Saccharomyces cerevisiae S288C: one gene and its partners. Changing the gene in region 2 together with the main gene of any one other region gives a genetic interaction. Each region holds a gene or a part of one and is shown on either strand. Other genes may lie near its edges. The genes, in order: ARL1, PKR1 and TLG2.

The links.
Region 1: mutations in PKR1 (region 2) and ARL1 together harm fitness more than expected from each alone (negative genetic interaction), as found in Saccharomyces cerevisiae (5 studies listed by BioGRID, with this or other methods).
Region 3: mutations in PKR1 (region 2) and TLG2 together harm fitness more than expected from each alone (negative genetic interaction), as found in Saccharomyces cerevisiae (5 studies listed by BioGRID, with this or other methods).

Annotation. Positions count from the first base shown.
Region 1 is NC_001134.8:567,279-570,010, forward strand, and holds ARL1 (Arf family GTPase ARL1), read right to left. Parts: upstream 1,149-2,732; coding exon 597-1,148; downstream 1-596. Other genes in the region: EXO5 (Exo5p), read left to right, coding at 1-202; UBS1 (Ubs1p), read left to right, coding at 1,574-2,407; TYR1 (prephenate dehydrogenase (NADP(+))), read right to left, coding at 2,564-2,732. UniProt on the Saccharomyces cerevisiae protein: Recruits golgins such as IMH1 to the Golgi. Can bind and hydrolyze GTP. May be involved in trafficking events within the endosomal system.
Region 2 is NC_001145.3:511,724-514,582, reverse strand, and holds PKR1 (Pkr1p), read right to left. Parts: upstream 991-2,859; coding exon 622-990; downstream 1-621. Other genes in the region: EPO1 (Epo1p), read right to left, coding at 1-127. UniProt on the Saccharomyces cerevisiae protein: Functions together with the other V-type ATPase assembly factors in the endoplasmic reticulum to efficiently assemble the V-type ATPase membrane sector V(0).
Region 3 is NC_001147.6:290,275-293,933, reverse strand, and holds TLG2 (t-SNARE syntaxin TLG2), read left to right. Parts: upstream 1-1,859; coding exon 1,860-3,053; downstream 3,054-3,659. Other genes in the region: ESC8 (Esc8p), read right to left, coding at 1-1,405; TOS7 (Tos7p), read right to left, coding at 3,381-3,659. UniProt on the Saccharomyces cerevisiae protein: t-SNARE that functions in transport from the endosome to the late Golgi and on the endocytic pathway.

The DNA of each region.
Region 1 (2,732 bases), on a different chromosome or scaffold from region 2:
AACCCATGCCCATGATTCTGCAATGGTTTGGTTTGGTGGCAGAGATATGCATCCAATTGAGCCTACTCAAAAAAACTTCAACACATACTGTAAGTTTTGTGACTACAGACACGTTTGTTCTTGGAAAAATAAAAATGAATTGAAACTTATTGATCTAGGGAAAGAATTAAAAAAAATTATTCTTGAATCAAGTATGAAGTAGTGTAGGTATTGTAACATTATTTATTCTAGTTATTAAAAGGGTGTTGTTTCGTGAATACATTGAAGTCCTTTATTGGGTTATTAAGCACATAAATCTGTTTCTGCTTTCGGACGTCCTGTTTCAATAAATCGGAATTGAAATGACAATTTAATTTAAATGTATATATGCAACTTTCATTAAGAGGTCATTAGGTATTTTAATGCGGCCTTCTCATTCATCGGAACGATGTAATTGCCTTTAGAATTAAAACCCAAAGAGAAACATGTATACACTTACTAACTCTATTATGTTTGGATAGAGCTCCTTGATAATTCAGTTACAAAACAAATTATATGTATATTCAATGCCATTTAAAAAGTATGCATCTACACTTTTTTTTTGCAAATCTTTATCGCTATAACTGTTCCTCTTTTATAACATCAATCAACCAATCTAAACCTTCGGTAATACCTTCGCCTTTAATTGCACTGGATGCTACGATAGACCAACTTCTGTCCTTCAATTCTACAAGATTCAGTTCTTTGGAGACTTCACTGGCACTTAATGCACCCGGTTGGTCTTGTTTATTTGCAAAAACCAGCAGTGCTGCATCTTGCAATTCTTCTTCCTGTAACATCAAATGAAGTTCCTTAGAGGCTGTAGACATACGATCTTTATCAGTCGAATCAACAACGAAAATAACTGCAGCAGTGTCTGCATAATAACACCTCCAGTAGGGCCTGATACTTGTTTGACCACCAAGATCCCAGACGTTCAATTTTAAGTTTTTATAACTTAGCGTCTCTACATTGAAACCAATGGTTGGCTTTGTAGTGACTACTTCGCCAATTTGTAAACGATATAAGATGGTAGTTTTACCTGCACCATCCAAACCCAAAATCAATATACGCAATTCTTTGTTTGAACCCCATAGTTTGTCAAACATTGAACTAAAAATGTTACCCATCTTGATCTATAACTCACTTTACTGGAACTTTCTTCTTAGATCTTTCTTTATTTTTCCTTTGGTTTTAGAAACCTTATTACTCACCGTTTCGTAAATACAAATGAACCACGCAATCCTTTACTACTTGAAAGTTCCGAGAACATTCTGCCTAATATTAATTGTCGTAAATCTAACTTTTATAGGCAAAATAGTTTTATTCAAAATTTCAATTGGAAAGGGCTCTGTTACCCGTCCTGTACGATGCAGTGGGTTTTGTTATTGTCATAAGAAATATTTAACCTACTCTTCCCATATATATCATAGAACACATTCTTAGTATGTTTTGAGAGCATCAATCTAACGTTGCCTTTGTCGTGATTTTGTGCGAGGAGGCGATATAAGAGCTAAACAGATTTTTTTATATTTTAATCAAAAAGCTAATAATTATGGCTTACTCTTTAACAAGGAAATTGCTGAAGGATTGGAAATATTTTATGCGCCATCCTGAGAAGACCCAAGGTCTTTTTCATGTAAGGCCACATGATTCAGACTTACATCTTTGGCACGTGGTAATGTACGAGCCCAGGACTTCTTTGGAAGTATATCTACTACTTTATATTGGCGGAAACGACCAGGATCCATATATCATCATGAAATGTCTGTCTCCAAATTGTTGCTTTCCAATTAACAGAACGGTTTCGATGACACACTTAAACTATCTTTTATTGAAAGACTTGGGATTACAGGATTTACTTTTCCACATATGGCAACCGCTTTTTCATATTCAAGCAACGGAAGACTTACAGTATTCACCGTCAACGGTAAAATTCAACAGGGCGTGGAATAGGATTATATATAAGGACTTTAAATCTTATTTTCCGGAACTGATAGGTACTTTACAACCAGGTGATTACTCTATAGTAAAGAGCTATTCCAAAAATCATAATATCAGCAATAGTAATGGTGGCAGTGTCAATGAATTTATGTCCTCTTACAATGCTCAAAGCCACACCTTTCACGCACAAGACAACAGCAAGAACCCTTATACTAACAGCAGCATAGGAAAGTCTAGTATGTTATCTACTCTCAACAATAATAACGTTAACAAAAGGACACATGACTACAATGCTATCGACTTTATGACCAAAAACTTACTTGCATGTGATGATGACAGTATTCATCCGGTCGTAAGTTCTAAAAGGTCAAGAACGTTGGCATGTCCAGATGAAACGAACGATAATCGCGGTAGTGAGCATTACACAAAGAGGAAAAAAATCTAATGGGTTTATTTTTACATAGAATAGTAGAACTTTCTTCCTTTTTTCACGATTTTTTGCATGGGCATTTGTCACAATATATATTTTTATTCAGTTATATAAATATACTCCTTTTCACAAAAGAAGGCCTAATATTATAGGAAATCAGCATTAAAAACATTATGTATTTCTTTTTTCAGCGGCCGAACGGTCACTAGAATGACTCAGAATGGTTTTTATCATCTCGTTGCCAATGAGATTAGCCTCTGGAAGCATTGGCTCAAAGAACTTTTGAACACTCTGAAATTGCTTTTTGTATATATCAAAATTGGCAAAAGAAACAACCGAG
Region 2 (2,859 bases):
TTGAAATAGGTGTTTCATCCCTAATGTCAATATTTCCTATATCATTATTCAAGAGGTTATTTCTCAATTTAACTCTAGCAGAAGACTGACCGTTTCTTGTTGCCATGGTCGATAAACCTGCATCCATTTTGAACTTTTTATAAATAGTCTTTGAGTACTTTTTATCCCACTGCTTTATCGGATCAGGCTGTACCTCTCTGCTCTTTTTGTAGGGTTATTAATAGCTCGGTGAAAATTAATGAAAGAAAGCTCCAAATTTAGCTATAGCCGTAAACTAAAAAAAAAAAAATTAGGAGGGCAGTCACTAAAACAAAAAATCAGAATTCCTATGCAATGTGCTGCTGACACAGTTACTTGAAATGCCTATTTATTCACAATTTGAAGGGTTTGCGATGCTGAAAGAGTTGTTCTATTCAGTCGCACGCGTTAACTCTTTGCATGTGCTTCATTTGTCCATAATTGAGCCCAAAATTTGATTTAAAAAAAAGGAATTTTTGAAAAAAAAAAAATATCAGGGGAGACCCTGAAGCGGACAAAAAAATTTACAATTGCGGACATTTACCCGGAAGCTCTGTGATATACTAATAACAGAGATAATTATGTAGTCAATTATGTATCTGTCTATGCTTTTCTTGACCTAGATTGTGCTTGAGTCCGTCTGGCAGTACTAGTGGATTTCCCGCTTTCTTGCTTGTCTTCGCTGTCTTCCTTGATGGCACTGTCGTCCTTTTTATTGGCATCTTTATCCAGCTCATCATTATCCTTCAATTTGACGTGTGATAATTCGTTTATAAACCAGATAACGGTAATCCATAGTAAAAGTGATATACAGAAAAGAGCATAGAAGTGGATATTCCCGTTTGTGGCATAGATGAGCCAGATGAGGGTCAGTAGTAGTGCAACAAAAGATACGTGTGTGGCGATGATCAGCTGGGGGGAGGTCCCTGGTTCAAATACACTTTCCCACAGTCTAACAAAAAAATTGGCCATTTTGAGAAATTTTCGAAGTTATATCCCTGCGATTTTTGGCACTAATCAATTAGATGGACGTGTTCTTGGATATGACAAAAAGAAAAGACCATCTCTATTTTTCTTCATTTGATTTTCAGTCAAGCAAAAAACGCCGGGTAAACGCAGTCAAAGAAAATTAAAGAACATCTGCTATACCCTACCATGTTCTTAAAATATGAATGCGCTATTCAGGTTCATAGGCAAAGTTTTCACATGTCACTCGCCAAATAAAAATCAAAATTGAAATATATAGGTAAATAGATTGATAAAAAGACGTAATTAATCACCTGTACATCTTCAATTGGAGTTTCTGAGACACCGATATCTAGGACGAAAGAAACAACGGTAAATGATGATACCGTGCTTCGAGCAGACAGGGTCAGTAATCATACCAACAGAAAAATTCTCTTTGGTATAAGTAACGGTGTTACTGCCGGAAATACTCCCGAGAAAAACAGAACCTTCACTGGTTTTAATATTCACCTCAATGTAAGTGATGGTCTGACTTTGCCCTTATAATTAGCAGCAGCAGGAGTGGCGACACCAGAGATTAGGCACTAGTGAGGAGAAGAGATAGTCTGACTGGCCATTTTAGTTAATGGATATATAGTTTCCCATCTATTGAAAGGAGTGGAAACTATAACTGAAAACTGGGTTCTTGAGCAGGAATACTGCTTGTATACTTTTCTTGTATTTCACTGCTTCCTGTCCGATGCGCTAGCACGATGGAGCTCGGCAAAGAAAGACAGAGGAGAGAAACATCCTGAGGATTTTGCTTTGTGCAGAAAAGGTTCCATCCCTGCAATAAGGGTCCTCTTTGCTGCGGAAATTCGAAGAAACGAGATAACCATCCTGGGTTGTAGCGACCTCATCACCACCTAGACCCCTCGGTATGCAGCCAAAATCCATTTGTGTTTGCCTAAGGCACGGAATGGGAAATAAAGTATTTTAGATTGCATACGCATTTTCCCTCTGGGTAGGGAGTTGGTAAAAAAAAAATAGACAGAGTAGATTCGTAATAACTTAAATGGCTAAAGCGTGGGTACATCAGTGCAAACAAATACGATATTACCGTACCAATTGCACACTTCTTGGTAAGAAAAACTGGGAGCACACCTTACCCATAAAAAAGTGCATCGTTATTCCCATGGATAGGAAGAATAAGAATATATCACTCCTGCCTCCAGAATAGTAAATCTGTTTTCTCAGTAAATTATCCCTTTGAAACCTTACTGGATTTGGCTGTCATTGGTCGTAATTGCCCACAATTGAGGTTGCATTCTAAATGTTTCTTCCAATCAAAAATCAGTTAGATAAGTACCTTGGATGCCATTACATCGGGAAGCCCCTTTACTCAGAAGCCCGTTAGTTTCTTGAGTACTCCGATATAATTCCCCTATTTCTACAAATGCTACATAAAAAAATGCTGTGAATAAAGTCGCTAACAACAACTACTTATCGTGACTTGTCTAAAAAAAAAAAAACCTACATTTCAGAGTTAAAATAAATCTAAAGGTGCCACTGGAAAGAGTTATATGCGAGCTCCAGGTTCATATTCAAAAACATGACATCTTACTTTCTCTCGCGGTTGTGACCTCCTTCAATGAATTTGATATTGCTAACCAACAATCATCAATATTTTTGTTTTACCCGTCTTCTCGTTTTCTGAACGTGACACTAGCAATGTCAGACGTTCATTCTCACTTTCTGTCACGTGCTCGCATTGCGAGCAAAAAAAGCCTTACCACCACTCGATTAATCTAATGAGTTGCTGTATTAATAAATAAATTTTTATATTAAAATATATTATAGGAAACATGCAATGGCCCAATTGGCCTAAATATATAT
Region 3 (3,659 bases), on a different chromosome or scaffold from region 2:
ATTCGTTGCCAATCCAGAATGGTGGTAAGTAGAAATCTCCAACTCGTGGAATTCTCGCTATCATAAACTCTGATGTCCTTAACTTGTAAATTTCGTCTACGGTGGGATCATCAATTGGTGTGTGTGTAAATTCGTTTGCAAAATATTCACCCCATTCTTCATTTATTTTAACTGCAGCTCGTAATCTGTCTGTAGTTACTTTTTCGCTCAATGATTTCCGAACACCCTTTAGAAATTTCATCTGACTATTGATCTTACTCAGTTTTCCTTTGTCGCTGGGCTTCCTTTTCTTTCGATTTTCCAACTTTTGACTCATCAAAGAGCATAAAACTTCACAACTATCTAATATGTTATTGGCCCCGCACATAGCAAACCTGCTGGCGTGAAAAGTTTGATGGTTGAACCCTGTATCGCCTTTCAAGTGAGTGAGCCTTTGAATTTCATTATGGAAAAGTGCGGAGTAGCTACAATTCCAATCGATCATGCATCTCAATAATATTATTCTATCTAATGGTTCCATCGTCAACAAACCACCTCCATTAAAATTTAGAGTAGATAAAATATCACTATTACCACGCCATTCTTTTGGTAAGCCCCACTCCTGGATTAAGCTTCTGAGTTTGCCAACCAGTTTTCCATATGGATTTTTCAAACTAAGAAATCTTTTTAGCGTGAAATTTCTATGAGTTTGGTTGTCTGCTCTTTTCTCGGAGCAGAATAATAACCTCAAAAGACTGCAAAATAGTAGATTCATTTTATCCTGACAAATTCGAATATTCTTCGCAGAATGGCCAGCCACCTTTAATTCTAGTCCTATCTCCACATCTTGAAATGACAGGTTCAGTAGATCGTCGCTGAACACCCATTTAAATTTGACGATAAAAGAAAGGATCTTCATAACATCGCCTGCATATGGGAGAGGGGTGCAAAGGGGAGGCGCCCAATTGCTTTCCGTTACCGTCTCATCACTCATAAACTTTGCAAAGTCAGAATATCGTAAAGGAATATTTGGTGACCAGTTTAATGTATTCAATGGTCTATTATTAGAAGTAGTGTGTTCACTGATCGACTCTACCTTGTTAGTGTCGTTCGAATGTGTTTTGATATTAGAATATTTGCTTGCCATATTTGCCTCCATTTCTTTAGTTTTCATTTCTTCATCACAGGTACCTTCATATTTCTCCCGCTTTTTAGTATTTTGGGTAGCAGCATCCAGTGATTCGTCAATTGAACTATTGTGAGAAAGTACAACAGGTTCTTCTACAATTTTGATGTTTCTGAAATCATCAAAGGTCAACTGACCCCTTCTTTTTACCCTAGGCTTTGAAGACTGGTTTTTCTGTTGTTTGACCATAGGTTTCTTGATAAAGTCATCGACCAAGTCTAAATCAATAATTTCTGTCATTATTGTACCTCAAATTTCTTGTTCCTTATTTTCTTGTTTGATGTCTAAAAAAAAGAGATATCCTGGTAATGAGCAGGCCGTTTCTTCAGCTCATACAATCGAAAGCTTAAGAGTTAGTCGTTGATATGGTATTCTCTAATACCGAAAATAACTTAGTACATATAAACGCGTAAAGTTCACGCGTTTATATCACCCTACCATATGACATTCTAACCCTACTAATTTTTTATCAAAGCTAATAGGGTTGTATTTTATTATCTTTTACACCTACCTTTTTTTTTTGTATATGCCCTATAGATGAATTATAATTGTTGGACCGGTTTGTATTGGGCTTTTAAGGTGTAAAGTGAGTGCGTATAGATTATAGCAGAATAGACTATAAGTACGGCAAGACAGGAAAGTCTCCAATTGATGTACATTTTATCGCTTTGTGATCTAGGCAGTCGTTACAAACATGTTTAGAGATAGAACTAATTTATTTTTATCATACCGTAGGACTTTCCCTCATAACATAACTTTCTCATCTGGGAAAGCACCCTTGGGCGATGATCAAGATATTGAAATGGGTACATACCCGATGATGAATATGTCTCACGATATATCGGCCAGATTGACAGATGAACGAAAAAACAAGCATGAGAATCACAGTGATGCGTTACCACCCATATTTATTGATATAGCGCAGGATGTTGATGATTATCTTCTGGAGGTGAGACGGTTAAGTGAGCAGTTGGCGAAGGTTTATAGGAAGAATTCGTTACCTGGCTTTGAAGACAAGAGTCATGATGAGGCGCTGATTGAAGATCTAAGTTTCAAAGTAATTCAGATGCTGCAGAAATGTTACGCTGTTATGAAACGATTAAAGACCATATACAACTCTCAATTTGTGGATGGTAAGCAATTAAGTCGAGAAGAGCTGATTATACTAGATAATCTACAGAAGATCTATGCAGAAAAGATACAAACTGAAAGTAATAAGTTCAGAGTATTACAAAATAATTACTTGAAATTCTTGAACAAGGATGATTTGAAACCTATCCGCAATAAGGCCAGTGCAGAGAACACGCTATTATTAGATGATGAGGAAGAGGAGGCAGCAAGAGAGAAGAGAGAGGGCCTCGATATTGAAGACTATTCAAAAAGGACGTTGCAGAGACAGCAACAGCTTCATGACACTTCTGCAGAAGCATATTTGAGAGAACGTGACGAAGAAATTACTCAGTTGGCAAGGGGTGTATTAGAAGTGAGCACTATTTTCAGGGAAATGCAAGATTTGGTTGTTGACCAGGGGACTATTGTGGACAGGATTGATTATAATCTGGAAAATACAGTGGTAGAGCTAAAAAGTGCAGATAAAGAGTTGAATAAAGCAACACACTACCAGAAGAGAACTCAAAAATGTAAAGTCATTTTATTACTAACATTGTGCGTAATAGCGCTCTTTTTCTTTGTTATGTTGAAACCACATGGCGGTGGCAGTGGTGGTCGTAATAATGGTAGCAACAAGTACAACAATGATGATAATAAAACAGTTAATAACAGTCATGATGACGGCAGTAATACCCATATTAATGACGAAGAGAGCAACTTGCCGAGTATCGTTGAAGTAACAGAATCTGAGAATGATGCTTTGGATGACCTACTTTGATGACAAAACTTTCACGGTACCGCATCGCGATTTTGAACTATAATATGCTTTGAAGAAAATTGAGAGATTTAGTCAGCGTTCATATGACCTGTTGCTCGTTCTATTTGAGAAAAGTGAAAAGGTTAATATATGATTTCAATAAAGTATGTAGTATGATAATAAAATACAAATTTATATGGGATAAAATTGAACCGCAAGTAAAGACTGGCGAACGAATATTGTGCATAAGTAGTTCCTGAAGATGATAAAATATGGTTTAATACAAGTTGGTGGTTATTGTGATTTGTAGAATATAAAAAAAAAAAAAGAACCTTCATTTTTCTTTTTTTACCTAAATCCGTAAGGATTGTTCAGTGAAGTAGTAGCTCGGGGCAAGTTTTTGTTTTGCATTCTCCTCTTATAGGCAGGCTTATATCCTTGTGTTATCGGGCTTTGGTTTGGTAAAGGATTCGGAGCAAAACCGACGCCTGGTACCGGATTTCTGTGCTGTGGCACTTGGTTTGGGGCAACGTTGAAATAAGGATTGCTTTGTAAAATAACATTAGAAGGATCTGGACCAGCAGGAGTAGTTCTTTGATATAAATTGTATTGATGATATTGCTGCTG